7 linked regions of the Macaca mulatta genome follow. The protein of the gene in region 7 purifies or fractionates together with the protein of the main gene of each other region. This does not show direct contact. Links are inferred from orthologs where the notes say so. Each region holds a gene or a part of one and is shown on either strand. Other genes may lie near its edges.

Region 1 (3,775 bases), on a different chromosome or scaffold from region 7:
ACAATTTACATCATGTGTCAGTTACAGGCCTGTGCCTTGTACTGTCCCCCTGAAATCTGGGTGGCACAGAGGACTCAATTCCAGGAATATGGAGAAAGGGAGGCATCTCTCATGGATGTCACAGAATCTTTGGGACTGCGAAGATCAACATCTCCATGGGACCTTTCAGGTTTCACTTTAACAAACCGACAGTGAGCTCTAGACACATCGGAGGGCCTCACAGAATTTTGCCTGGTTGTGGTGTGTGACTTGTGGTTTTCATTTCACTGTTTCCCAGACCAGAGCAAGCATCCCTTACTGGCCAGGCGCAGTGGCTCACGCCTGTAATCCGAGCACTTTGGGAGGCTGAGGCAGGTGGATCACCTGAGGTCGGGAGTTCGTGACCAGCCTGACAAACGTGGTGAAACCCTGTCTCTACTAAAAATACAAAAAAAATTAGGCATAGTGACACACAGCTGTAGTTCAAGCTACTTGGTACTGAGGCAGGAGAATCACTTGAACCCAGGAGGTGGAGGTTGCAGTGACCAGAGATTATGCTACTGCCTTCCAGCTGGGGCAACAGAGCGAGACTCTGCCTCCAGAAAAAAGAAAAAAAAGAGTACCCCTTAAAAATATGTTGGGCCAGGCACAGTGTCTCAGGCCTGTAATTGCAGCACTTTGGGAGGCTAAGGTGGGAGGATTCCTTGAGACCAAGAGTTCGAGACCAGCCTGGACAGTATAGTGAAACCTCATCTCTACAAAAAGTTAAAAAAACTATCTGGGTGTAGTGGTGAATTGCTATAGTCCTAGCTACTTAGAGGCTGAGGTGAGAGGATCCCTTGAGCCCAGGAGTTTGAGGTTACAGTGAGCTATGATTGTGCCACTGCACTCCAACCTGGGCAACCAAGGAAGACTCTGCCTCTAAAATAAATTTTAAAAAAAGAAAAGAAAGGCCGGGTGCAGTGGCTCATGCCTGTAATACCAGCACTTTGGGAGGCCGAGGCAGGTGGATCATGAGGTCAGGAGATCAAGACCATCCTGACCAACGTGGTGAAGCCCCATCTCTACTAAAAATACAAAAATTAGCCGGGCATGGTGGTGTGCGCCTGTAGTCCCGGCTACTTGGGAGGCTGAGGCAGGAGAATCGCTTGAACCCAGGAGGTGGAGGTTGCAGTGAGCTGAGATCGTGCCATTACCCTCTATCCTGGTGACAGAGTGAGACTCCATCTCAGAAAAAAAAGAAAAGAAAAATATGCTGTTTGTCAATGCACTTTTATTGTAGAAATACTGCGAATCTGATATTAAAAATGAAAACAGTACAGAGGCATATTTAGAGCAAGGTGAAGGTCATCTTTTCTCCTTGCTATATCATTTCTGCCTCCATCCCACTCTGCATAGATGACCTCTGTCAACAGGTAATGTATCTCCTTCCAGACCCTTTTGGTATACATTTGGGGGTGTACATCCACGCCCTCAAATACAACTATATACCTCTTCCTTTTGCACTGAGAGGATTCTGTCCTAGCCCTGTGGTGGTTTACTGCTTAACTTTTTTAGTGTGTTTTTTTTTCTTCTCCTCACTGATCAGTAGCCTTATAATGGACAAGATTCGTTATGGAGTCCAAGAAGCAATGTACTGTGGTGTTTTTCTGCCATTTGAGCATTATTTGGAAAGCATGAAGCTTTTCCTGATTTTGGCCCTCTGCTCATGCCTGTATATCTCCTTGAAGAGCAGTTGGGGGCCTGCTGCTGCCTTCTGTACCTCAGATTGTGGTTTGTCTTCTTCATTATTGCCTTTTTTTTTTTTTTTTTTTTTTTTTTCCAGCGGTGTGGATAGGGAGGGATAGAAGAAGCAGAAAAGAAAGGTGTCATCCATTATTCATGGAAAGTAGGACTGGCCCCATAGAAGCCCCATTTTCTGCTCCTGGCTTCTCCCTTTGTCCGGCTCGCTGTTTTGTGTGTTGCACCTGCCTTGAGCCCCTTCAACCGAAGGAACTGTTGCTCAAGTGTGCTCAGTTGAGCATTGAGGAAAAGGGGCTTAGTGCTTTAGAGGTGCAATTCCCTGACCTCTTGGCATTGATTATCTCTGGGAGAGGGATCTTGCACCTGGCCCAGATTATGCGGCCTTGGCAGGAGACTGGTATTGCCCACAATTGACCTATTAGGGTTTAGTTTATTCAGATTTTCTGTGTATGTGAGACCAGCTTTCATCAGAATGTATGGCAGAGTCAGGGTACACTGCAGCTCTGAAGGCCATTGCCTTTTTTTTTCTTTTTTTAAAATTAACTTACTATTTTGATTATAAAAGTAATATAGGCCGGGTGCAGTGGTTCATGCCTGTAATCCCAGCATTTTGGGAGGCCGAGGCAGGAGAATCGCTTGAACCTGGGAGGCGTTGGTTACAGTGAGCTGAGATCGCACCATTATGCTCAAGCCTGGGTGACAGAACAAGACTCCATTTAAAAAAAAAAAAAAGTTATATAAGCACATTACGGATCACTTAGGAACTAGAGAAAAGTAAACGTAACTCCTAACCTTGTCATCTTAGTATTGCCATCATTCTCATTTTAATATATTTCCTTCTAGTCATTTTTCATGTGCTTTTATATATTTAAGGTGATTACCATCTTTCTGGTGTTTCCCATAGCTATTTTCTTGGATTTTTTTTTTTTTTTTTTTTTTGAGATGAAGTCTCACTCTGTTGCCCAGGCTGGAGTGCAATGGCACCATCTTGGCTCACTGCAACCTCTGCCTCCTGAGTTCAAGCGATTCTCCTGCCTCAGCCACCCGAGTAGCTGGGATTACAGGTGTGCACCACCACATCTGGCTAATTTGTAATTTTTTTTTTTTTTTTTTTTAATAAAGATAGGGTTTCACCATGTTGGCCAGGCTGGTCTTGAACTCCTGATCTCAAGTGATCCGCCTGCCTCGGCCTTCCAAAGTGCTGGGATTACAGGTGTGAGCCACCATGCCTGGCCAGGAAAGAATTTTTTAACAGCACATACCAACACTACTTTGTCAGTCTTCTTCTATATAACAACTCACTGAAGCATAAATGCCCATCAAACAGGGAAGAAACGCTCTCATTATATTGAATGATCAGGAAGGATCTTTATAACCACTCAAGTATTTTAAGTGGCTACAAATGACATGTTTGGTATCCCCTTGTCCACTCCTGATACCTGACCCAGATGAGAAGGACTCATTCGTGCAGTGGATAGAGCCTGGGGACATCTGGGAGATGGAGTCAGGGCCTAGATTTGAGTTCTGGCTCTGCCACTCACTTGGCTGAATAGCGCCTTAACATTTCTGAATCTCAGTTTCCTCATCGATAAAATGGGGGCTTAACATAGAACCGCCGTCACGGGGATGCGTGCTTTGTAAACTGTGAATTGCTCCTGAAATGCAGGGATCATCATCCCCATTGCCTCACTTGTGACCCTGCTTGCTGGCTTTCTTTGTCCCTAGCGGATGACCACCAGGCTCTCATCTGGGACATCCAGCAAATGCCCCGAGCCATCGAGGACCCTATCCTGGCCTACACAGCTGAAGGAGAGATCAACAATGTGCAGTGGGCATCAACTCAGCCCGACTGGATCGCCATCTGCTACAACAACTGCCTGGAGATACTCAGAGTGTAGTGTTGGTGGCGCTGTGCCCACGAGGCAGGGGCTTTTGTGTTTCCTGCCTCTGCCCCACCCCCAAAGTAAGAAGAAACATGTTTCCAGTGGCCAGTATGTCTTTCATTGCTTTGCACCCACTGTTACCAGAAGCTGCTCTAGGAGTTCCTGGCCAG
Region 2 (4,432 bases), on a different chromosome or scaffold from region 7:
AGATGGAGTTTCGCTCTTTGTTGCCCAGGCTGGAGTGCAATGGTGAGATCTCTGCTCACCGCAACCTCTGCCTCCCAGGTTCAAGCGATTCTCCTGCCTCAGCCTCCCATTTAGCTGGGATTACAGGCGTCCACCACCACGCCGGGCTAATTTTGTATTTTTTAGTAGAAACGGGGTTTGGTCAGGCTGGTCTTGAACTCCCAACCCCAGGTGATGCACCCACCTTGGCCTCCCAAAGTGCTGGGATTACAGGCGTGAGCCACCATGCCTGGCTCTATTTATTTATTTTTTTATTGATATGGAGTGTCGCTCTGTCACCCAGGTTGGAGTGCAGTGGTGCCATCTTGGCTCACTGCAGCCTTTACCCCCTAGGTTCAAGCAATTCTCCTGCCTCAGTCTCCCGAGTAGCTGGGATTACAGGCGCGCCACACCATGCCTGGCTAATTTTTTGTATGGGTTTCGTCCCATTGGCCAGGCTGTCTCAAACTCCTGACCTCAAGTGATCTGCCAGCCTCGGCCTCCCAAAGTGTTGGGATTATGGGTATGTGCCACCACGCCCTGCTGCCAGCTGGAACATTTAAAAAATAGTAGGATCAATATACCAGGAAGTCACATGGTGCCTCTGTCTCCAGCTTTATCAATCTTGACGAGGTTTTTCTCTCTTCCTGGAATCTAAGTGGTCTTTGCTTTGTCAGGGCCTGAAATAAGGTATTCTTTTCTTTTTTTTGTTTTTTGAAACGAGAGTCTCACTCTGTCGTCCGGGCTGGAGTGCAGTGGTATAATCTCAGCTCACTGCAGCCTCACGACCTCCCCGGCTCAGGCGATTCTCCCTTTTCAACATCCCAAGTAGCTGGGACTACAGGTGTGAGCCATCATGTACTGCTAATTTTTGTATTTTTAGGAGAGAAGGGATTTTACTATGTTGGTCAGGCTAGTCTCCAACTCCCGAGCTCAAGCGAGCGATCCGCCCGCCTCGGCCTCCCAAAATGCTAGGAGTACAGGCGTGAGCAACATCGCCCCGCCTGAAATAAGGTATTTCTTCTGCTTGGAACCAGCTCTTCTTTTTCATATACCAGCCTAAAGAGCAATTTCAAGACTCTCCTCTAACACTCCACCCACCCCCTTTATTCTTTAACTCTGTTTCTCTCTCGGGGCATTGTCGGTTAAGTTCCATGAAGACAGAAACTGTTCCCATAGTCCATCACAGGGACTGGCACTGTAGAAAGAGCTAACAAAAGTATTTAAGGAAGATCCCTGGATTCGAGGTTAGAGGGACGTATGATCGTGTCACAGCACTGCAGTCTGGGCGACAGAGCAAGACTCTGTCTCTTAAAAAAAAAAAAAAAAAAAAAGGCCGGGTGCGGTGGCTTTCGCCTGTAATCCCAGCACTTTGGGAGGCCGAGGAGGGAAGGTCATGAGGTCAAGAAATCGAGAACCACCCTGGCTAACACGGTGAAACCCCGTCTCTACTAAAACACACACACACACACACACACAAAATTAGCCGAGCGTGGTGGCGGGCGCCTGTAGTCCCAACTTCTCGGGAGGCTGAGGCAGGAGAATGGCGTGAACCCAGAGGCGGAGCTTGCAGTGAGCCGAGATCGCGCCACTACACTCCAGTCTGGGCGACAAAGCGAGACTGTGTCTTAAAAACAACAACAACAACAAAAAAGTCTTGCTGTGCTCTTTAGCACTAATCCTATGACGTTGAACCAATTACTTAAAACACCTAACTTCAGTCTGCAAATGGGAATTGCAGCAGCTTATTTTAGGACGGTTATGAGAGTCAAAAGATTTTGTTTGTACACAGCCTATGACACCGGCCAGTGTTTCTATCTCCGCTATTTGTGAGCCTTCTCTGGGTCCTCCTACACCCCAGGTCCTTAAACTCCCCTGATGGACTACCAAGCCCCGCCCCTCTCTCCTGCAAGGATGACGTCATCGACTGAGTTGTCGAGTGACGTCACCTCCGGGCTGGCTGGGCTTCATCGCTTCTCCGGAAACCTCCGACTCTCGGCACCTGGCCTCCAGCTTTCGGTTATTTTTTTTTTTCTCTCCGTAGCTTGAATTCCTTCCCTCCCATCCTCCCACCTAAAACTATCGGCTCTTCCCGCCTTCCTTCAAACTAGCAATTTTCGGTTCTTCCCTCTTGCTCTCGGGCGAATTCCTGAAAGTCGTTTATTCTCTTAATTAATCGCCGCTCCAGCCCCGCCCGTTCAGCTCATTCTCTTAATCGCATTACCCTGGCTGCTTTTCTTTCGGCTGTTTCCACCTCCTGCCACCCACCCAGACACCGCCTTCGGCTCTTTCCGGACCATCTCAATTTCTCCTCCTTCCCCGGTCCCAATCGGCTTAGGCTATTTCTGGCTCCCCTAGGTTTCTCATGCTCTCTCTAGCCCCACCCCATCACCAGCTTCGGCTCTTTTCGGCTCTCCCCCGTCGCCTCCTGTCTCCTGCTCAGCTCTTTTCGGCTATTTCCGCCTCCCCTCGGACTCACCCTTTGCCTTCGGTTCTTTCCGCCGGCCCTCAGGCAAGCGGTCTCTACCCCTCTCCCGCACGTGACGCGGCCTCCGCCTCCGCCTCTCAGTTCCCCCTCCCACCTCACCCTTCCTCCCGCCTCAGCCTCTAGGCTGGTCCGGGCCGAGCCGCCATTTTGTGTCAATTCCTGATTGCGGCGGGGGCCGGGCAGCCGGGAGACCAGTGGCGGGCAGACAAGGGAGACAGTCGGCCCGTCTCCGCGGCCCGTTCCCTCTCTCCCTTCAATCCTTTTTTTCTTTTTAACCCTTCCACCCCCTTCGCTGGCTCTCCTCTTCTCCCCTTACCCTTCGCTTGCTCCATCGCGCGCGGCCCGCGCTAATTACACCCAACCACCCACCAGTGTCCGAGTCTCCCGGGTCTCCCGCCCCCGGGCCCGCGGGGGTGCGTGGGGGGGGGGCTCTCGCCCCTATGAGGGCCCCGCGCCAGTAAGCGAGTGACCGCAGGGGTGGGCTGCGGAGAAAGCAGGCGGCGAGCGGCCCTCCGAGGCCTAGGCCGCGCGGCCTACGCGGAGGTCAGCGCAGAGGTGATTCCGAAACCGAAAAAATATATACCCCATTCCCATCAGGAGCCCTCCGAGCTTAAGTGTGCCCCTCCCGCCACGCCCAAGCAGTCCTTTTTCGTGCATTAACATCCCCTCCCCCCCAAAGGAACTATGGAGGCCGCGCCCGGGACCCCCCCGCCGCCGCCATCAGAGTCGCCGCCGTCGCCATCGCCGCCGCCGCCATCAACGCCTTCGCCTCCTCCGTGTTCCCCCGACGCCCGCCCGGCCACCCCGCACCTCCTCCACCACCGCCTCCCGCTCCCTGACGACAGGTCAGGCCCCCGGCCGGGCCGGGGCTGCGTCCCCGGGGGGAGGAAGAGGAGGAGGAGGAAGGGGGGCGGCCGCCATGTTGGGCCGGGCCGCGGAGGAGGAGGAGGAGGAGGAGGAGGAAGGGCGGGGTCGGTGGGTGTCTCTCGATCGCTTGCTCGCTCGCTCTTTCTCGCTTGCTTTCTCTCCTGGCCTCATGCGTTTCCCCCCCCTCGCGGCGTTCGCCCGCTCTCCCTCGCTCTCGCTCTGTCTTTTTTGGGCGCCATGCTGAGGGGAAGGTGAGGAGGCGCCCCTCGGACCCCCCGCGCCCGCCCGCCCGCCCTGGGGAGGGGGCGCCGGGGGGGGTGCTGCGGAGGCCCACGGGGGTCCTTGGCTGCCCCTACGCCCGGAGCTGGCAGCCACGGGCCCGCCTGCTCGTCGCCTGGCTTCGGGGAAGGGGATGGGGGAGGGGCTCCGGACCCTTTTTGGGGGGATCTCGAGCAACAGCCCCGCTCTTAGGGGTTTGGGGTTGGGGGTCTCCCAGCCCCCGGCAGTATCCTTTCTCCTGGGGGAGGCACACCCTACCCTACTTGGATGATAGGTATCTTAGCTTAGGAGGCAGAAAGTGGGGGTTCATTGCAGTCCCTTCTCCATCCTTGTAATGGGGGGTCATTTGGGTGGGTGCTTTATAGCACTTTTATTTTTTGGCGGGAGGTGTTTTGTAGCTATTCCCTAGAAGGCCGAATTGGGGAGTGGGGGAGATGCATCTCCAGCCCTTTTGATGAAAACCCCTGCCTATTTATTTAGAGAAGATTCTTACCCGTGTTTTTGTTAAAGGGCAGGGGTTCTCTAGCTTTTCGTAGGTAGGTGACGTGAGGGAAGACTAGCAGCCTTGTTTTGTGGGGGTAAGGTTTGGTTTCCCTGCCTTGTAGGGAGAGGAAGTTGGTCCCGCGCTTTCTCGTGGGGTTCCCCCCTCTGTCGGGGTAAAATGGGGCACCGTCTCTTCCGGGAGAGAGAAAAGGAGATTTCCTTGTGCTTTGGCAGGGCGTTAAAGGAAGCGCCCCATTCCCTTTATTAAGTGCGAAACGCGGCGCCCCCCCCCCACGC
Region 3 (3,775 bases), on a different chromosome or scaffold from region 7:
GTTTGTAGCCTACAAAAAAATGGATTATTTTTAAGTTTAACATTAGAATATGAATAAAGGATGAGGATGTGGCTTTTTATTCCATAGAAATGGAAACATTTCCAAACATGACAATTACACAAAAAAAGTATGCCTACCATTGAAGTTGGAGTCCCTCCAGATTTTTTAATATTCTTTGAAGACATTCCATGAAGGCGACTGAGTCTAGCTTGGAAACCTGGAAAATCAAAGTACTCAATTTAGAAGTTTTCTATGATCGCTGAAGCATAGAAGAAGAAGATCCTATCAATAGAGAATGAAAAGTAAGTTGGTGGTGGCGGTGAATGCCATGAATATTATTTGGGAAAATGCAAAACTCACACTTAAAGAAACTGGAGCAATACCTAGCAAAGTACTAATGCAGTCAGCCCTTAACTAACCAGTGTTTAATCACTAGAGTAATAAATACCCATTTTCTTTTCTCCCAATTCATGTTCCTATCATTTCAACATTTTCTCAATAAGTCTAGCAAGAAAGCAAGTCAATTTTTCAAATAATTTGAAAGCATGATAAATGTAGTAGCTATATTAGTGGCCAATATACTTCTTTACAGCATCTTGTCTTTATATTCTCTAATTTCCACTTTATCTTATCCTCTTTGAATGAATATTCCTAGATTGACCTTAAACCCATTATATCCACCAGGGAGCCAATGCTACTGACCTCTTCTGCTTGAGTGTGACATAAGGGGAAAAGAACCAGTTAAGATACTTTCAAAGACAGGATCTGGTAAATTTTTGTCTAGCTCAGTAGGATCTTCCTTTTCCCACCAGGGCACGACTCCAGTGATACCACATGCTCCACCTGATTCCTTTTCGTAGAACCAGTCACTCTGTTCATCATCACCTGTATAAATACAAGAAACCCCCCCCAACCAAAGATTCAGTTTTATCATCCAGTTACACAATTAGTCTTACGTAATAAAAATACAAGATGGCAGTTAAATTTGAATTTAAGATCAATGACTAACTTTTAATATAAGTATACAATACTTGCATTAAATTTTTAGTGGAAATATGTCTAAGTACTGCATGGGACATACTTGTACTAAAAAATTACATGTTATTTACCTACAATTTAAATTTAATTGGGGATCCTATGTTTTATTTGATAACTGCATATATAATCTATAAGGAAAACTTTTTATTTTATACCACAGCTTTACCTAAGAAATATTATCTTAAGACTGTAAGAAACTGTCAGCAATAAAAACACAAAATTTTATGTTTTCGAACCAATTTTAAAATGTGAAAAACAATAATAAGCTGGTTAATCCTTTGGCAAAACCTATTAGAAAATCCATTTAAGTTACTACCCCTTCCACATTAAGAAAAAACAAACCTTAATCTGCTCCCGGGAATTAAAAAGTGTTAAAACTGTAGAACCCTTGCTTTGCAGCAGATATGGGTATATAATTAGCTTAATTTCATGATTTGTATGGAGTATAAAAGGGGAAACAATCATGAACAGATGTGACTAAATGAAATTAATCCCATTAAGCTCATTAAGAAATAGTTTTGAAAAAGTTGATTTTGAATGAAAAGTGACAATACCTTAGAGTTTATGAAGAAAGTATATTAAATAAGTGAGATGTTTTTGCCCAACACTATCCAATAATTCTGACTTTTGGGAACATCCATGAGTGTAACCATGGAACAATAAATGATCAATTGAAAATTCAGTTTGAAATGTGCCATAGGGGAGAATCAGTATTTTGTTTTTTGAAGAAAAAGTAGTTATGAAGAGACAAAAATACAGAAGACAGATGGCTTTTAAAAGAAAGAGAGACAGGCCAGGTATGGTGGCTCGTGTGTATAATCCCAGTGCTTTGAGAGGCCAAAGTGGGAGGATCATTTGAGGTCAGGAGTTCCAGACCAACCTGGGCAAGATAGCGAGACCCTATTTTAAAACGATTAAAAATTAGCCGGGCATGGTGACATGCACCTGTACTCCTAGCTACTCGGGAGTCTGAGGCAGGAGGATCCCTTGAGCCCAGCAGTTTGAGGTTATAGTGAGCTACGATCGTACCACCAGCACTCCAGCCTGGATGACAGGGCGAGACCTTGTGTTAAAAAAAAAAGAGAAAAAAGAAAAGAAAAACAGAAAGAAACAAATAGCATTTTGAAGATGATCTGAGATTCATTAAAGTCTCCTTCCCTTGATTATGAGAAGCCACCACTAATTCTGGTTTCTAAGAGGGTCATCATGATTGTCATAAACTGTTTCCCTTTAGAGAGAGATATTTCTGATTTCTAAAATCTCTTTCAACAAACGTCTTTAAAGGAAAACTAAAAATACTCTTAAGTTTCAGTTGAAAATTATTTTATGAGAAATAGCTATATTTCAACTAAGATGGAATCAAAAATTAAAGGCATTTCAAAAACTAGAGTCACCAGCTTGTTTCTATTGGGGAATTAATAAAAAAATTTTTTTCAAAAAACACAATTAACAGCACTTAGATATCAGGACTTTTACTGAGCTTTATATTAAACTTACACAGATCAGGTTTAAGCATAAGAAAAAACAGGGCCTCACTTGAAACTGACTACTACATATCTGAATTCCAACACTATTACAGAAAAATAAAGTTATTTTATTTTTGATGTAATACACAACTTTATTCTTCAATAGGGAAATCAAATAGTCATTGGTTAAGAACTTGCTCTGAAGTCAGACAGACTAATTAGAATTCTAGTGTTCTGCAACACCAGGGAAGTTACTTCTACTCTATTAGAGTCAGTTTCTTCATTTTAAAAAACTGGGAATCTCAAAGGGATTTTAAGAATTAATTAAGAACTTAAATGCAAGAAAAACACTTAGCAATGTGAAACATAGTAAGTTCACAGTAAATGCTGGCATATCATTGTAAGCCCTTCCACCCTTATCAAAGATTGATAGGCTTGTCAAAGTTATTTTTATATTTTTTTCATTTTATTTCATTACCAATATCATGTTTACAATACAATCCTGAGGAAAGATCTGTATTTTAATGAGAATTTAAGTATATTATCAAAGTAGTTACCCTCGCATTTAGCCCCAGCATTCTAACATATTTCAGCAAAGTATCAACTTCCAAGTCCACGGCCTTTCAAATAGTTATGTACCTATTCATCTAAGACAAATAGCTTACAAGTAGGCAGAAAAGAATGATCACTTCATTTACGTTTTTTTGTACTGCCAAAAGGATGAACAGACTAAGAAAAAAAGTGTAGGCGGCTACTACTTTGTCCTTTTCTTATAACATCATTAAATAAATTTATAATTTAAAATTTATGTTAGTGTTTTTCACTTGGAACTTACTGTCTTCCTCTAATGTATTCTTAAGAAAGGAAGAGAACGTTTGTGATAGGTATTTGTCTGTATTAATTTCATGATTTGTGTGGAGTGTAAAAAGGGAAACAATCATGAACAGGTGTGACTAAATGAAATTAATCCTATTAAGGATTAATCCTGCCCCTTATTAGGGTGTTTTAAATTTTTCATAGCTTCAAAATACTGCCATGTTAATGACTGAAGCTTCCCGAAGTTTCAAAGATGGAAAACATATAAGTTGCAAGACATTTCTGTTTAATGGTTTACAATATTGAATTCATAAAAATCATCTAATTACTTACAAACTGGATAGAATGAATTAATGTCACAGTTGAATAAAAATGACAAATGACTTGGAAATCCACCTTTATGAATGCTTAAACAGTTTTAAGTACATTTGGAATTAGGTAGAGAATAAGAACTG
Region 4 (3,775 bases), on a different chromosome or scaffold from region 7:
TATTTTTTGGGGCCATTATTAATAATGCTGGTATGAACATTTGTACACAAGTTTTTTGTGGGGACAATTAATTTTGATAAGTACACATTCTCAGGCCAAATATTAATGCTCACAGGAATTAATCACAAACCTGTCTGGCATGTTAGCTTCATAATCATATAACTTCTTGTTCCAGGATTTTGCCTTAAGAAAATCATCTTCCAGTGTCCCAGAAATTTCATTCTTTGGCCTCCAATAGTCTCTTTGACTTTCTTCATCAAAACCATCACTGCGCATCCGGCTAAAAGAGAAAGCAGAAGAACTTTTAGATGTAAAAGCAATCTGTGAGTTTACTTTATGGAACATCATGCATAAAACTCATGGAACAAGCTGAGGGGGAAGGAAACAACATGATACTGTTTAAAAAAAAAAAAAAAGGTAAAGACATCTGTTCCTCTCTATACATCTGTAAAGTCCAATGGAAGAAATCTGACCAGGCCTAGTGTGGTGGCTCATGCCTCTAATCCCAGCACTTTATCTGTTCCTCTCTGTACATTTGTAAAGTCCAGTGGAAAAAAATCTGACCAGGCCAGGTGCAGTGGCTCACGTCTGTAATCCCAGCACGTTGGGAGGCCAGGGCAAGTGGATCACTTGAGGTCAGGAGTTCAAGACTAGCCTGGGCGACATGGTGAAACCCTGTCTCTACTAAAAATACAAAAAAAGTAGGTGTAGTGGCACACACCTATAGTACCAGCTACTTAGGAGGCTGAGGCAGGAAAATTGCCTGAACCTGGGGAGGCAGAGGTTGCAGTGAGCCCAGATCACGCCATTGCACTCCAGCCTGGGCAACAGAGTGAGACTCCGTCTCAGGAAAAAAAAAAAAATCTGACCATTAGTACACATCCTATTGCAAAGCATAGAGAGATGAAATCAACTCTGGACTGTCATGTGATAGTTCACTCGCTGATTCTCAACTAGGAAGGCATGCAAAGAGGGAAGCAGAACATAATCATAGCTAGGGACACTTCAAACTACCCTAGAGATTCTGAAATACACTTCCCTCTGTGCAAACCAGCAACTTACTATAGAGAGGTCCCAATAACAGTGGGAACAAGGTCTAACCCATGGGAATAGTTGAGTAGGAAAAAAGTTGAGAACCATTGATCCAGCTTCTGTTTACCACTTCTACTAACTAGCCAGTAAGCTGCTAATCAGTTATCAAAAATTCGTAAGGGGCCAGGCCCAGTGGCTCACACCTGTAATCCCAGCACTTTGGAAGGCCTAGGCGGGTGGATCACTTTGAGCTCAGGAGTTCGAGACCAGCCTGGCCAACATGGTGAAACCCTGCCTCTACTAAAAATACAAAAATTAGTCAGGCATGGTGGCAGGTGCCTGTAATCCCAGCTGATTGGGAGGCTGAGGCAGAATAATTGCCTGAACCCAGGAGGTGGAGGCTGTAGTGAGCCAAGACCACACCACTGCACTCCAGCCTGGGTAACAAGAGCGAAACTCCGTCTCAAGAAAAAAAAAATTGTAAGGGCCTCTTATGTACCAGGTATTGGTCTAGCGGGCAGGAATACAGCAGCAAATGAGAAAATCACAAGCCCTGCTCCTAAAGAGTTTAAGTATTTCTTATATATGTAGCTCTTACACTTACAAGCATATAAGGATGTTCCCAATTATTCAAGCATTCCTAGGCCTCTCCACAAGGAAAACACAACTAACCTTGCATAATCCTTCATATTTACACTCAAGCTATTAAGGTAATGTGAAAAGGCTGTTGATCTGGTGAAGAGGGTGAATACATAGGGTGAAGAAAAGTCTGAGGCTGGGCAAGTGGCTCACGCTTATAATCCGAACACTGGGAGGTTGAGGTGGGAGGACTGTGTGAGCCCAGGATTCTATACCAGCCCGGGGAACACAGCAAGACACTGCCTCTACAAAAAAAAAAAAAAAAAAAAATAGCTAGGCAGAGTGGCATGCACCTGCAGTCCCAGCTACAAAAAGAAAAGCCTGAAAGAATGAAAAATTAATAGAGAAAGGAATGATTGATCAGCTTAGTGACCACAAGATTCCAGTAGAAAATCTTAAGTTAAAAGCTATCAGGTAAGGTTAGAAACCACAGAACCCTACACATTCATAATTGTTCAGGGAGAATTTTTTAACTCTCCATTGTAAATAAGTACAGAGAGTGGGGGCATATGCATCATAGCCATTATCTTTATGCCTAGATTTACGAAAGAGGAAAGGCTTAAGGACTCACAGAACTAAATTCATCTATCCTTAATATACCAAAGTATTTTTAAACAAAAGTTGATGATTCTGAAAAAGATGAGAATTATTTTAGTTCTCAGAGCTGCAACTTCACCTTGAACTGCTGGGTAGCATTTTCCTTTTGGTCCCCCGGTAAGCATCTTCCATCTGTTTTTCCAGTTCTCTTATTTTCCACATATCTGATTCCTCCTGAATCTAGAATTTTTGAAAAGGAAAGAAATAAAAATAAGTTACTAAAAATAACTTTACATTACAGAAAAGTAACTAACTGGCCGGGCGCGGTGGCTCACACCTGTAATCCCAGCACTTTGGGAGGCCGAAGCAGGCAGATCATGAGGTCAGGAGTTCGACAGCAGCCTGACCAACATGGTGAAACCCCGTCTCTAATAAAAATACAAAAATTAGCCGGGCAAGGTAGCATGCACCTGTAATCCCAGCTACTCAGGAGGCTGAGGCAGCAGAATCCTTGAACTCAGGAGGCGAAGGCTGCGGTGAGCCGAGACCACACCATTGCACTCCAGCCTGGGTAACAAGAGCGAAACTCCGTCTCACTGTGCCACTGCACTCCAGCCTGGGCTACAGAGTGAGACTTGGTTTCAAAAAAAAAAAAAAAAGTAACTAACTGAAAATACAATCTGACTAATTATTGGGCTACAGACTGGGCTATGATCAGGAACCTGGAAAACAAATTGGTTTCTCTAGAAAGTGGCTGAACAGTCCAATCCAGTAAATCTCAAATATCTAGAATTATTCCCCAATAGAATTTTTAAACCCCTGCATAAACATCACCTTATCAATTTTGCAATTATGCTGCGATTAGCAAATGATAATGCCACATTTCCAAAATGCAATGTGATTTTAATTGTATCATCTCAATTGAACTTTAAGCAATCTCATGAGGAAAATAAAGCAGCTACCATTATTACATTTTACTGTAAAGAAACAAAAGCTCAGAGATTTTACCAAAGTCAAAAAACTAGTAAGGACAGGTCTTTAAACTCCCTAAGCTATAAATCTCTTCTCATAACATAATTTTTGTCAAAAATAAAATAAACAGTATGGCTGCTAGAGAATTTCTTGAAAAGCAGAATGTGATTACCCAAAGAACAAGAACACATTTTATTTCTAAGTCTTCCCGCATAATTTCATTAGATCTGTGCTAGATTTATCTTTTTCTAGTTGCCATTTTAAATCTAAGCTTACTATACAACTAGCGGCAGGTTAACATAATGGCACAGGCAGCTTGGGGTAACAGTTTTACCCTTGCCCATAATTTTAAAAATCAGGTGATATGATAGTAATAATATGATCAAACCAAAAGTAGTAGTTTACTGAAGAAAACTAAACCAGGTGCCTTGGCCCTCTTTTCATTATATGTGCTCTCCTAGGTGACCTCATTTACTCTCATGACCTCTTATCATCAACCTATACATCAATAATCCCGAAACCTTTATGTTCAGCCCCAACTTTTCTCCTCTACTCCAAGTCTGAATTTTCAACTGCTTGGACATCCTATAAGCAC
Region 5 (3,775 bases), on a different chromosome or scaffold from region 7:
CACACATATCTTAATGGAGATGAGGTGATAAAACACGGAGTATAGCAGAAGAAATTTCTTCAGGAAATGCAGCAGAGATGAAATGTGAATTGAAGAAGTAGAGCCATAAGCAACAACAGAATGAAAAAAAAAACCAAAATAGTTAGTTTTAAAATATTTGGCAATAAATTTATGAACCACCAACCAAAGCTTCAAGTGTGGAAATGAGGACTGGGGTAATAAGGAAAATGTTGTCTAATTTTTTTTTGGAATCATGATTATATGTTATCCAGCTTCAGCCTACATCCATTTCTACCATAGACAGTGACCATCATTAGCAAACCCACTGACCAGCAGAGAGAGAGAGGTGAATGGAGTGGAGGAAAGCAGCAGTGAAAAGAGGAAGAAAAGTGAAAACAGTATCATATGCAAAGTACCGTTCCTTTAGGGTCTTGTAGGATATAGTGTGGTAGATGTAAACCAATCAAAAATAAAAAGATGAAATTTCCTATCAACTTCCCCTCCACTTTTAACTCAAGACTTAGGGCTCACTGAGATGTCTGCCTACTGAAAATCATCACGCATCTGCAAGCCTGTTATAACAGCTGGCCTCCCACACTGGCCTTTGCAGCCACGCCCACATAGGAGGCTCATTATGAAGTAATGAGAACAGGCTTACAGGATACAAACAAATATCCACCTCATGACTCTTTGGTCACACATGTCTCTCAATGGCTTCAGCTCTGAACACAAAGTATGTAAGCAAACAAATATAACAACATCAGTTAAATTCTGGTGGAGAGTAAGTAGTTTTTGTAGTTATTATATTCAATTACACCTAATTACTAGAGTTAAACAATGTAACAGCACTTTTTGAGATAATGCTCATAACCAGTTAAATTTCTACAGCCCAGTTTGGCCAATATATGCTGAGTGATTCCCCATGAATCCATCTTCTTCCACTGAAATAAATTAAGGGTTAGTTTTCACCTGCTCCAACTATAAACAGATTTAACTTTAAAAAGTATAGGTAAAGTATGTGAGACATTTCAAAATAGGTAGGGAAAAAAAAGAACAAAACATTGATTATTTAACTCTGAAAGAAGTAATAAAGCATACGCTGCTTTTCTTCAAGTTCTTAAGGGCTTTGAAATACGTGAGGATATTTAAAGGTTAAACACGCTTTTAGAAGCACAATGTTAATTCCTATACTTTAAACCAGATAATGCCAGATAATCTAATTTTGACACACACACATCCAAATATATCACCAACTGGAGAATTAAAACTCCTAAATCAGTTCAATGAATTCCTAATTTTGAAATCACTATTTTGCCCCAGGACTTTAATTGGAAGTATATATAACTTCTGACTTTTCCATTTACTATGCTACATAAAACTATTTCATGGAACCTCCCCCGCCACCTCATATATCATAACTTTTGTTTTGAACGAGTATCTTGGGAAGACAACTAGACACTTTTTTTTTTTTAAAAAGGAACCCCAAAATATACAACATGCTAATGCTATTAGAAATCTGGATCCAATTTACCTGAAGCAGAGCCATGAGCTGAGGTCATACTTTTGACCTTGGAGTCTGAGAGTCGAGAGATACTGTTAGCTCTAATTCTAGGAGAAAATTTATCTGATGGTACTAATCTGGCTCCACTTCTAATGATGGCTTCTGCGGTCCTCGAAGAGGCACTACTTCTAGAAATTGTTGCTTCAGAGTCACTACGAGCTGACAGTGAGCCAAGTCGTGTTCTACGAGGCTGAGCCAATAAATCAATCCGAGAGATGTTACGCCTTCCTGTGGGAGGTTTTGATGTAGAACTTGTTGTGGATACTTCAGAAGCAACAGATGCTTTGTCAGCATCGGCAAGTTCACTGTCTGAAGCTTCACCAAGTCGTGCTCTGCGCAAGAGGGAAGTCCTGGTAGGTCGTGGCCTTGGAAGGGTGGTCGATTTACTGGATGAACCAGATACTACCGGAGAAGTCTTAGATTTCGTTACTTTACTTCCTTCCAGTTTGGAATGTACATGCTCATCAGCTGAGGTAAGTGGAGTCCGTCCATGAGGTTTACAGGAGTAAGTTTCTTGATCAGATGACATAATATCAGAGATGGCAGAATGAGGTACACTAGAGGTTTGATCATCATCGGTTAGGTCTACCGAAGGCTGTCTTATTCTCCCACTGGATTGAACAAATTTACGACCATCTGCTCTTGAACCCACATCTGTGGAACGACTTTTTGTTTTCTTTTCCATTTTTTCCCTAGTACCTGAAGATGACGATTTTGTAACATCTTTGGAAGGAGAACCTGTGGAACACCTATCTTTATAGAGGCTAGTGAAACTCTTTCGCTTTTGGGTTGATTTTCTTTCAGTTTCTCCAGTAACCAGACTGATTGTACTAGCTGTATCTACATCAGATTCTGGTGAAATAGAATTGTCTCTATTATAACTGGGAGTGTCTGGTCCTTCATCAGTTTTATTATCTTCACGTAGTTTAGCTTCTAGAAAAGCCATGACTGCTTCTGTGTCTTTTAGAATAAGGGTTGTGTCCATACTAGAATCAGGATCTAAAGACTCACTTCTTTCTCGTATTCTACTTGCAGATGTTAATGCTAAAGAAGAAGGAGTAGAGGAAGTCTGTTTATTTATATGAGGAATAAGTTCTATGGGTATGTTTGGGCTGGGTTTTTCTATAGTGAAGCTCCCTTGTCGCACTAATGACTTGGAGGATTCCTTCTTGTCTCCTCCCTTTGGAGTCTGACTTTTCAGAATTTCCTCAGCTTTTCTTCTTTTGCTCTCACTTTGTGCCACTCTGTCTCCTTTGCCTGTAGAATGTCCTGAATTTTTTTCTGGAGGTTGTGATTCTTGTTTAAAAGGTTCCTCCCTACATTTATCTGTCTGACCTGAAACATTTTTGGAAGACAATTTAGTAGGTGTCCACTGAGCCTCCTCCCTTTGTTCTTGTTGTTGAAGTTTTGCTAATGTTTGCTTTACCAAAGAAGTTTCCTTATCAGGTTCATTTTTCTCCTTTCCAGGAGCAGAGCTGCCTAAGTGAAGTAGGGTTTTATTATCTCCACCAGTTTTGAGAGTCTCTCCATTTACTGCCCTGTTCATTTTACTCAAGGGTCTGTCGGCATCTTGTTTATCTTTCTGGTATACCTGTGTAGGTGCTTCTTTCTCCTGAAGTTCTGTGTCTTGTTTTTCTCCTATCTCTGACCTCTGTGTTATAACCTTTGCTCTGTGGCTCTCAAGAGACTTTTCTTCATTTGGAAGCTGGGGAAGAGTTCGTCTCCTTCTCTCTCCCTGGCTAGCCAAGGAAGTTGCAGAGCCAGTACTTCTCACTGTCATGCCAGACTCACTGATCTCTGTCTCTATAAAATAAAAACCACAAAGAAGGAATTGGCTAAGACAAAAAAATAAAAATAAAAGGAGCACCCTACAGTTGTCTGTCAGTATCCACAAAGACTGGTTCCAGACCCCTTCTTCCCCCAGGATACCAAATTCCAAGGATGCTTAAGTACCTTATATAAAGTGATGTAGTATTTGTATATAACCTACTCACACCCTCCCATATACTTTAAATCATGTCTAGATTATTTATAATACCTATTACAATGTAAAAGCTATGTAAATAGTTGTTAATACTGTATTGCTTAGTGAATAAGTACAAAAAATAAAGTCTATACATGTTCGGTGGGGACGCGATCATTTCTTTTTCCCTCTCAAATATTTTCAGTCCTCAGGTGAATTCACAGATGCAAAACTCACTAATACAAAACCTA
Region 6 (4,556 bases), on a different chromosome or scaffold from region 7:
GGTGCATTTTCAGTAAAGGAGTCAGATTCATGCCAAGAATGCTGCTTACTCTTAACAATGGCATTGAGAGCTGGGTGTCGTTTGGCCACCATTGTGTCATCAGAGTCACTAAAATTGGTCACGGGAGCCACTTCTCGACAGTCCTTAGTGGCCTCATCCAGACTTGACTCAGAGGCCTCGCTGTAGCAGCAGGTATGCTCTGCCAGGTGAGTGAAGTCAGAACGACGCTTCCGACCTCGGCGTTTCCGAAGCTGCCTCCTCTGCTGCCGGGGGCTCAGGGCCATCTCCTCCCACAGCTCACCAAGCTTATTCTGCTCAGATGTCTGCTCCAAGGCTGAGGCTAAGTCGTGTACCAGCTCATCCATGAGGCCACATCTGCCAAAAGGAAGTTTGGCGGGGGGTGGGGGGGGGGGAAAGAAAAGAAAAAGAAAAAGAAAGCCTGAAAAGGATCTGTTGTTTCGGAATAATTTGATGAAACAGATCATGGTAGTCCACAGTACTGCCTGTCTAAATGAAATAAGTCACCTTTCATCTGGCTACACTTAGATTCTGTTCCTACCACTTCCTAAAGCCACTAAAAATAGATGTTTTGTCCCTTGTTAAACGCCTGAAGTCAACATATTCTTAAGCACAAAAACCTACTCACCAGATGACAACTGGGACAGGACCCAAAACAAATTCGGGGGACTAGATCCTTCTCACTTTTCCCCAGTTAAACTTGTCACTGAATTACCTAATGATGAGATCCAGAAAGATTAGAGACTGTCTCACTAGACAGGAGTAGAAAAACATACAACTTCAAAATCACACTAGAGTTGCAGAAACACAGAGCAGGACACGGTCTCATCGAGGTATTGAGAATGAATGAAAAACTGTTCTTTGGCCTGGGGTCACTGCTGACAATGACCATGGCAGAAAGAAACAGAAAGACAACTTAGTGATACCCTTTAAGGAAGAATGCAGTTTTCATGATCCAAGAAATTGTAGTGGCCAGGTTTGAAGTCAGAATGGAGAAGAGACTAAGTTTGCACCCATTCTGGTACCAACTACCACCTGGAAGCTACCAGGTATAGAACCTTATACAGTAGGTCATATATTTTTGAATAATTAACAATTTTTAAGCCCCTCTCCTACTCTTCAGAAAATAAATGTCCGAATGTCCGTCCTAGTTATGTGCTTCAGTGCCACACAATCACACAAAAATAGGATACAACAGCAGCTGAAATGACAGGGATAGGGTGAAGTTTCTAAGATTTCTGGCTGAACTGCTTTCCAAAATTTCTTATTTTTCTGTTTATCCTCAAACCAAACATCACACTTCAGGAGTCACTTCAGAGGCAAACATTTCAACAAATGAGAGTAGTAGGAACAATCTTCAAAATTCCCTCTTAAGGGGAAATGTTTAATTTGTATAGCAGCTAATTAAATACACATTAAACTTTTAGCACTTTTCCCTTGCCTCTATGCCCAAAGTATTTCAATATCATGTTAAAATTCTATGTGGTGCCGCTCTCTCACCATATTCCCATTCATTCAGTTTTCACTTTGCAAAGGGTTTTCTAAAACCTGTTTTCACGCTGTGCCTATGCCAATGAATTTAAAGACAGGAAAACAGTCCTGGGGCTTATCTGCCACACCTGTAGGAGCAATGGTGACACCTACTTCCAAAACTACCATACAAACGAAGCTTCTCAAAGTGTCCAAAGGCACATACATTTAAACAAGACCAAGTTCTTTTAAGCATTAAGAAGTGATTTATTAACAGCTGTGAAAAGAAGGGGAAAAAATGGAAAAAAAAAAAAAAAGTGGATTAAAATGCCATGATTGAGGTTTGGGAGACAACTGTCCCTAAGACCAAAATAAAGAAACAAGTGGGAACAGCATGCCTAAATCTACTTCCCTAATAAAGAATTACTGCTTTAAAAACTCAGGCAACTAAAATACAAAAAAATAATAATAATAACAAATAAAAACCTCAGGCAGAATAGCACAAACTTGAACACGGAACGAAGTCACCAAACAACTGGTAGTCGAATGCTTGTGCAGAATCCTTTCCTGCCTCAAAGCCTGTAATTCGAACAGTGGGTGACAGAAGAACCCTAGGGCTCCCCCCATCTCCAGTCGCGGGTGCACACTCTCGAGAGGACCCGGCGTCCAGGCACGCACCCGGGTAGAGATGAGGCTGAGTCACGCACAGGAAGGAACGGGTAGGGCAGCTGGTGGACAGCAAGTAAGAAGAGAAACAGGAGCAGGGTGGAAGTGAGGGGCGGAGTAGGAGGTGGGAGAGGCAGGAGGCAACTTCTCATTTGGGCTCACCAGGGGCGGGGGTCGGCTCTTCTAGGGCAGAAACTGAAAAAATGCAAGTCGTGGCGACTGAGCTCCCTCCGGGATCGGGGGTCGCAACACGGCCACATATGTGAGAAAAACTGTGTTTCGAAGGACTCTCCACCTCGCCCCGGCCCGTCCCTGAGGGCTGGGGCGACCATGGCTCGGGACACCAAGCCCTCACGCTGCCGCCAGCCCCAGAGAGGCAGAAAGAAGAAAGAGGAAGAGGGGGCTGTGGCCCCGAAGACGGCCCGACCCACATCCCCAGGGATGGGGACAAGGGCCCTGAAAAGCAAGACCCCACCACCCTCACCCTCCGGCCAGCTGCCGCAGCCCCAAGACGCCCTTAGCCGCTCAGCCGCGGCTTGGCGCTCCGATCCCCTCTGGTACTAGCCCCCAGGACCCCAACACTAAAACCACTCCTCCCCCTCACCAGCTGCCGCAGCCACCTCCAACGGCCGCCGCTTTTTGGGCCGACTCTCACCGCCAGGGCTTCCCTCTCTGACCTCATTTCCGGTCTGGGCCGGAGGGGTGGGGCGGCGGCGAGTGGGAGGGGCTGGCTGCAAGATTGGGCCCCTGACCCATTGCTTCCGCCCGTGGCCACACCCACTTCCGCCCCGTGGTGGGCGGAGCCACAGGAAGCCAGAAGATGGGGCAGGGGACAAGGAGGGGTGCTGAGTAAGGTCTGGCCGGGAAAGGGCGTTTCACGGGTTGAGGTGCCCATGTGGGGAAAGACCCCTGCATGCTGGCCTCATCTTCCTTAGGGGCGTCCAGAAATTGGGCGCTAGGCAGGGGTGTCAGCTTCCCCCTTGCTTTCTGACCTTTTTAATGGGCCTATGAAGTTGAAGAGAAAAGGATCTTAATGACGTCTACCCTGTGAGCTGGTACAAACATTGGGAGGGGTGGTTCTTCACTGAGTTACTCAGAACATTACAAATTGCCTTGAGCAATAAAACAAGTGATATTGGATTATAACTCAAAGTATAAAAGAAATATTCATGAGCCCATACCGATATAAATAAGTGATTGAATAAATTAACGAATGAGGAAGAAGAGATAAATCCCCCACAGAAGAATCTCAAATAACTTATGTAGACAGCCATCCTGGAGCATCACTTCCACCTCCTTAAATGTGGGCTGTGCATAGTGACTTCCTTCCCAAAAGTACAACATCTGTAAAGGGGAAAATGAGTGATTTTACAGTGGGGAAACCTGGCAAACAGTAATTCAGCCAGGTGATCAAGACTATGTGCTAAATCATGTTGATAGTATGTGGACTGATATATGATGAGAATGGCACTTTATGCTACTTTCCTAACAAATCTCATAACCCAGTCTAATTATAAGAAACAAATCAGACAAACCCTAATTGAGGGACATTCTGCAGAGTACATGACCAGTATTCTTCAAAATTGTTAAGATCAGCAAAGGTAAGGGAAGTATAAGAAACTCAGAGCCAGGAGAAGCCTGAGGAGGCATGACAATGTAATACGGTATCCTGGGTGTGACACTGCAATTAAAAAAAGAACATTAGGTAAAAACTAAGGAAATCTGGATAAAGTATCAACTTTAGTTAATAATAACGTTATCGGGCCGGGCGAGGCGGCTCATGCCTGTAAACCCAGCACTTTGGGAGGCCAAGTCGGGCAGATCACCTGAGGTCGGGGGATTGAGACCATCTTGGCTAACATGATGAAAACCCGTCTCTGCTAAAAATGCAAAAATTACACGGGCATGGTGGTGCGTGCCTGTAATCCCAGCTACTCAGGAGACTGAGGCAGGAGAATCGCTTGAACTCTGGAGGCAGAAGTTGCAGTGAGCCGAGATCCCACTATTGCACTCCAGCCTGGGTCATGAGAGCAAAACTCCGTCTCAAAATAATAATAATAATGTATCAATTTTGGTTGCAATCGTGACGTGTGTTATACTTCTGTAAGAGTGAATAGCCGGGTGCGGTGGCTCACACCTGTAATCCCAGCACTTTGGGAGGTTGAGGTGGGCAGATCACCTGAGGTCAGGAGTTCGAGACCATCCTGGCCAACATGGTGAAACCCTGTCTCTACTAAAAATACAAAAAATTAGCTGGGCATGGTGGCACACGCCTGTAGTCCCAGTCCCTACTCGGGAGGCTAAGGCAAGAGAATCGCCTGAGTCCAGGAGGCAGAGGTTGCAGTGAGCAGAGATCAAGCCACTGCACTCCAGCCTGGGCAACAGAGCAAGACTCCATCACA
Region 7 (4,514 bases):
GCAACTCCCTTCTCAGCTCAACCCATATCACTCTGTCCCCCACTCCTCCCACCTCTGTCCAGAGGCCCCTTCTCTGGCCCAGATGGGCTCTCAAACTCCTATGTTGCCTTTCTTCCAGTTAGGCAGGCTACAAACCATCAGAGCCATTTGTTGTTTGTTCCCTGAGGAAGAGGCAGTCTATCACAACTCTCTGTTCAAGGACTGTCTCCCTCCCTGAAAATTATCCCTTCAGGATGACCCCCAATCAGAATTCAATTCCCAGGCCCAAGCCTGGGGTTCTTCTCCTCTTCTCAGCCAGTTTCCTTAAACAAGGCTTAAACATGACTTCTTGCTGCAGGAACCTGTGTCCCTTACTGCTCAGAAGGAGGCAATTAGGAGCAGAGAGGCCTCACCATCTGGGCAATGCCACGGTTGGTAAGGATGTAGCGGGCGTGGATCAATCCATAAAGCATCTCGGCAGCCTGCTCAATCAGGTCACTCTGGTTGGGGTTGTCTTCCAGTTCTTCATCTGAAACACAGCCCGGCCAAATGCAACCACTTGTTTTTCAGCTTTCCTAGGTGCCCTGCCCATATCCAGGGGGTGCGGACTATTCAGTTCGCCTGGCACCTACTTTTGGGCCTTACCCCATCCAACATCTGGGCATGTGACCCAGAAACCTGGGCTTCTGACCCTTGCGCCAACCCAAGACAGCTCTGTCTTCTCTTCACACCTCTTTAGCCTCCGCTCCCCACTCTCCCTCCCAGCTCCCTCCCCAATACATAACTGCAACAATGTCAATGCAAAAGATGAAACTCTAGACTGGAAGGTGCAAAGCAGGAGAAATAGCAAACCAGACCCATGAGGAAACATATTTTGGAAAACATCTGAATTGTGGATTTAGAAAACATGGGAACAAGTGATATACGTCACAAAACTAGACACAGTCAGGTGGAGGATCAAAATAAAGCATGAATTTGGGGTTAAAGAAATCAGAGAACCAAAGGAAATTTCAAAATTCAAGTAAGTGAATATAGATTTGAAGAGAAAAAAAGTGCATGCACACACACAAAACAACCCTGAGGGTGCCTCACCAGGCTCCAGGTCCAAGATCATGTCTAGAGCTTGTCGATAGTGAGGAACCTGCTCATTGAGTCCAGTAAGATTAAATTTGTCCTGAATGTAGTCTTCATCCACCTGTGGGGACATGGAAGCCAAGAGGGAACCCATATCAAAATCCCCATCTTTGACCTGGGCAAAATGCTCTAACTGATGCCTTATCATCAACACAACTGCATCTGTTCCGCTTGTTTCTCACTCCCAACTCAGCAGAAGTACTTGCGTCTCTCCCTAGTTCACCTATACTCCCTCCCATAAAGCTTTGGCTTTTCTTTTCTAAGGATAAGCAGGTACAGCAATCTTTTTCTTAGACATTCTTTTCAAGATCTCTGTCCCTACTCCTGTACTCCATCTCTAGGAACCAGTTTTGTCCTCTCAGCTGGCTGAGGAGGATGGAAGCTGAACGGCATGGTTTCTGAACAAAACATTTCAATACGTAGCATTTCAATTTTCCTAACAGCCAGCTGAGACATGTACTAGCAGTACAACTTTAGTAATAAAAGATACAGGCTGGGCGCAATGGCTTATGCCTGTAATCCCAGCACTTTGGGAGGCTGAGGCGGGCAGATCACCTGAGGTCTGGAGTTTGAGACCAGCCTGGCCAACATGGTGAAACCCTGTCTCTACTAAAAATCCAAAAATTAGCCGGGTGTGGTGGCGGGTACTTGTAATCCCAGCTACTTGGGTGGCTGGAGCAGGAGAATCGCTTGAACCTGGGAGGCAGAGGTCGCAGTGAGCCGAGATCGCACCACTACACTCCAGCCTGGGCGACACAGTGAGACCCAGTCTCAAAAAAAAGATAAAGAAAAAGACACAAATTGCCTGCTGGAGGGTGGCAGAGTCAAAACTTGGGCCCCAGTTTTGCCACTTTAGCACAGGTTCGTCGGGGGTTATTGAGGGGACTCTTCGTTGATGGGAAGTTTTCAAGTAGTATGTAAGAGAACAGTGTAGAAGTGGAATACGTGAAGGAACATCTGGTGGGAAGATATGTGAAGCCAGCAAGTAGGGAGGTCGAAGAGAACTCACTTCACAGAAGAATTCATTGCCACGGAGCCCACAGAACCAGGAAATCCAGGACACCTCCTCTGAGCTGCTCATCTTCACGTCAGCTGAAAAAAAGAGTGTCAGTAAAGCTCAAGTTCTCCTTCCCTGCCTCGGGTATCCTCCCTCCTCCCACATTAGAACCACCCTTTCTTAAAGGATCCCAAACTCTGAAGCACTCCTCTCCAACTCCTCCAATTTACATCTCAGTTCCCTTTTCTTTGACGTTAAACATTCTTTGGGGTCCCACCACTTGAAAGAAGCCAACAGATACTTTGACCCACCAGCCCGACCCACGTCCCTGGAGCTCCCGAAAGCCAGGGCCCTCTCTTCTCTGTGTCAACTCCGGCAGGGACCTCGACTCAGGCTCCGTACCAATGCAAGTCTCTGCACGACCCCGGCGCCTTTCCCAAGGATTTCAAAGTTTATCACTCTCAAGCAAGAATCGGGCCCCTCCTTTTCTCAAGGGTTGGGGGCGACTGTCAGGTCCCTTTCACCGGATTCCACACATCCCCCCTCCGCTCCTCAAGCCACCTCTCCCTCCTTGCCGGACCTGGTTGCTTCCTCCCCCCGCCCCCATATCAAAGTGCGGAGACCCATGTGCGGCTCCCAGCGACAAGCGACTAGGAGCAGCGAAGACCTCAGACTCACCAGCTGGACGGGGACCAGGACTGGGGTGGGGTAGGGAAGTTGCTACTTCGAAGGAACGGCGGCGACCGCTACAGCGCAGGCCGCGGACCCGACCGCGGCAGGCGAAGTGGGGTGGGGGGAGTGGAAATTGGGGAGGGTGGGGAAGAGGGCAACACGCAAGCGCCAAGGGTCAGGTGCCGCGGTGGATGCCGGGACGCGGAGTCCCCGGTAGAGAGAGAAACCGGCTAAGTGAGGGAAAGCGAACTACCAATCCCAGGATGACCCGCGCACGACCTGGCTGTCACGAATCCCCGGAGGAGGACGCTTGCGGGCGGGGCGCAACGAGAAGCCACCGGAAGCGGAAACCAGGTATGGCGTTCGGGGCCTGGGAGCCTGGGCAATACAGTTGTGTGCTCACTGGGCGAAGAAGCTGACTTAGGGCGGGGAAAGGAGGGAGCCAGGCTGGACCCCTCCTCGCAGCTCTCCTCACAGTTGCCCTCTAGTCCCGGCGCGGTGCTGCTTCCCTGGGGACTGGCCTATCCTTGGCCAATGCGCTGGGTCCTTATTGCCTGTTGGGCCCCTAGTGCGAGTCAGTCCCGCCAGAGACCCTTGACGGGCCTTCTGTTTTACTCCGGGCTCCGGCCTCATGAGGCGAGAGGTGCGGCTTGGCTCCGTGCGTAGGGACTTGGGTTGGGAGGGCTGGGCTGGGCTGGGCTGTGTGAGAACCAGAACGGCCCAGTGCGCTAACCTGAGGTGGTGCCAGCCATTCTGCTCGTCCCCTTGCACTTCTCCATTTCCCCTTAGTCTCTAAGTGTGACCTTCGAACCCTGGTCAGAGTAATGGTGAGGGGCAGGCGTGACGTTATTTCATTACACGGCTTCTCGGCATTCCACAGGTTTCCCTCCGCCTCCTGAGGGCCTTTCCTAACCCAGAGAGTGGATTCCTAGCTCCAGAAAATGGGCTTGGAGCGGGGGCCACGTAGAGGAAGGCGAAGGGCATTGTGGGGGCGTTATGTAAAAGTAGGACCCCAACCGACAGATCCTAGCGCTCGCGCCACCTGGGCGCGCGGAGCTTTGCTCGTTTACTATTGGAAAAGTTCCAGCGCGGGAAACTGAACCGGGAGCTTTGCGCACGCCTGAGCCATCAAGTAATGTGGGTGGTGGTTTTTGTTGTTGTTGTCGCCACGCATGCGTCTCCGTGCCGTGTGGCTATTTGATTGTGTCAACTCTGCTGATCAGAATAGCGCCATTTTGCGGTACGGAAGCTACACGGCAACACGTATAGGAGCCTCTCCCCGAGATCTTCTAGGGAGTGACCCGTCTATTTTTGTTTGGGAAGAGGAAACTCCGAAATGGGATCACGGAAGACTTAAAGGGCCAGGTTTGATTTTTTTTTTTCCTACTGGTATGTCTGTTTTACGGGGTGAGAAAGTGATTTCAGAAAGAGGCTGGTATTTATTGTTGGTAAGGATGGGGGTGGGGGCCGGACGCAGGACCTCTGGACGACTGTCTCATGGAGTTTGATTAATTTTTACTAAGGAGCAAAGTCGGTATTGTAGGGTTTCGTGTTTTTACGCATATACTCTCTCCCTTAGACCCTGCAGAGTCTTAAGTTGTGGGGTCACTTTAGCGGCAGGAAAGTGTTTTTGACTACTTTTTCTCATCCCAGCAGGTCCCTGAGGCTCTGGTTGCTACAGAGTCACCAGGAGCTTGGCTTGCTTGTCGCATCCTTCCCTTGCCTGGTATCA

Evidence for each region.
Region 1: the proteins of CSNK2B (region 7) and DCAF7 purify together in Homo sapiens (affinity purification with mass spectrometry; 4 studies listed by BioGRID and IntAct, with this or other methods). This does not show direct contact. The link is inferred for Macaca mulatta from reciprocal best matches to the Homo sapiens genes CSNK2B and DCAF7.
Region 2: the proteins of CSNK2B (region 7) and ZC3H4 purify together in Homo sapiens (affinity purification with mass spectrometry; 3 studies listed by BioGRID and IntAct, with this or other methods). This does not show direct contact. The link is inferred for Macaca mulatta from reciprocal best matches to the Homo sapiens genes CSNK2B and ZC3H4.
Region 3: the proteins of CSNK2B (region 7) and GPATCH2 purify together in Homo sapiens (co-immunoprecipitation; 3 studies listed by BioGRID and IntAct, with this or other methods). This does not show direct contact. The link is inferred for Macaca mulatta from reciprocal best matches to the Homo sapiens genes CSNK2B and GPATCH2.
Region 4: the proteins of CSNK2B (region 7) and NKAPD1 purify together in Homo sapiens (affinity purification with mass spectrometry; 3 studies listed by BioGRID and IntAct, counting the BioPlex papers as one, with this or other methods). This does not show direct contact. The link is inferred for Macaca mulatta from reciprocal best matches to the Homo sapiens genes CSNK2B and NKAPD1.
Region 5: the proteins of CSNK2B (region 7) and CEP170 purify together in Homo sapiens (affinity purification with mass spectrometry; 3 studies listed by BioGRID and IntAct, with this or other methods). This does not show direct contact. The link is inferred for Macaca mulatta from reciprocal best matches to the Homo sapiens genes CSNK2B and CEP170.
Region 6: the proteins of CSNK2B (region 7) and GPATCH2L purify together in Homo sapiens (co-immunoprecipitation; 3 studies listed by BioGRID and IntAct, with this or other methods). This does not show direct contact. The link is inferred for Macaca mulatta from reciprocal best matches to the Homo sapiens genes CSNK2B and GPATCH2L.

Annotation. Positions count from the first base shown.
Region 1 is NC_133421.1:73,377,375-73,381,149, forward strand, and holds part of DCAF7 (DDB1- and CUL4-associated factor 7), read left to right. Parts: intron 1-3,447; coding exon 3,448-3,620; 3' UTR 3,621-3,775. UniProt on the Homo sapiens protein: Involved in craniofacial development. Acts upstream of the EDN1 pathway and is required for formation of the upper jaw equivalent, the palatoquadrate. The activity required for EDN1 pathway function differs between the first and second arches.
Region 2 is NC_133424.1:59,592,863-59,597,294, reverse strand, and holds the start of ZC3H4 (zinc finger CCCH domain-containing protein 4), read left to right. Parts: upstream 1-1,582; 5' UTR 1,583-1,896; coding exon 1,897-2,037; intron 2,038-2,650; exon of another isoform or gene 2,651-3,061; intron 3,062-3,185; coding exon 3,186-3,481; intron 3,482-3,513; exon of another isoform or gene 3,514-3,610; coding exon of another isoform or gene 3,611-3,624; intron 3,625-4,432. UniProt on the Homo sapiens protein: RNA-binding protein that suppresses transcription of long non-coding RNAs (lncRNAs). LncRNAs are defined as transcripts more than 200 nucleotides that are not translated into protein.
Region 3 is NC_133406.1:75,343,671-75,347,445, forward strand, and holds part of GPATCH2 (G patch domain-containing protein 2), read right to left. Parts: intron 886-3,775; coding exon 703-885; intron 218-702; coding exon 138-217; intron 10-137; coding exon of another isoform or gene 1-9. UniProt on the Homo sapiens protein: Enhances the ATPase activity of DHX15 in vitro.
Region 4 is NC_133419.1:112,831,876-112,835,650, reverse strand, and holds part of NKAPD1 (uncharacterized protein NKAPD1), read right to left. Parts: intron 2,449-3,775; coding exon 2,348-2,448; intron 281-2,347; coding exon 131-280; intron 1-130.
Region 5 is NC_133406.1:5,981,021-5,984,795, reverse strand, and holds part of CEP170 (centrosomal protein of 170 kDa), read right to left. Parts: intron 3,365-3,775; coding exon 1,532-3,364; intron 1-1,531.
Region 6 is NC_133412.1:149,362,917-149,367,472, reverse strand, and holds the start of GPATCH2L (G patch domain-containing protein 2-like), read right to left. Parts: upstream 2,846-4,556; 5' UTR 2,759-2,845; intron 376-2,758; 5' UTR 366-375; coding exon 1-365.
Region 7 is NC_133409.1:150,652,883-150,657,396, forward strand, and holds the start of CSNK2B (casein kinase II subunit beta), read right to left. Parts: upstream 2,836-4,514; 5' UTR 2,789-2,835; intron 2,206-2,788; 5' UTR 2,195-2,205; coding exon 2,123-2,194; intron 1,175-2,122; coding exon 1,072-1,174; intron 509-1,071; coding exon 393-508; intron 1-392. UniProt on the Homo sapiens protein: Regulatory subunit of casein kinase II/CK2.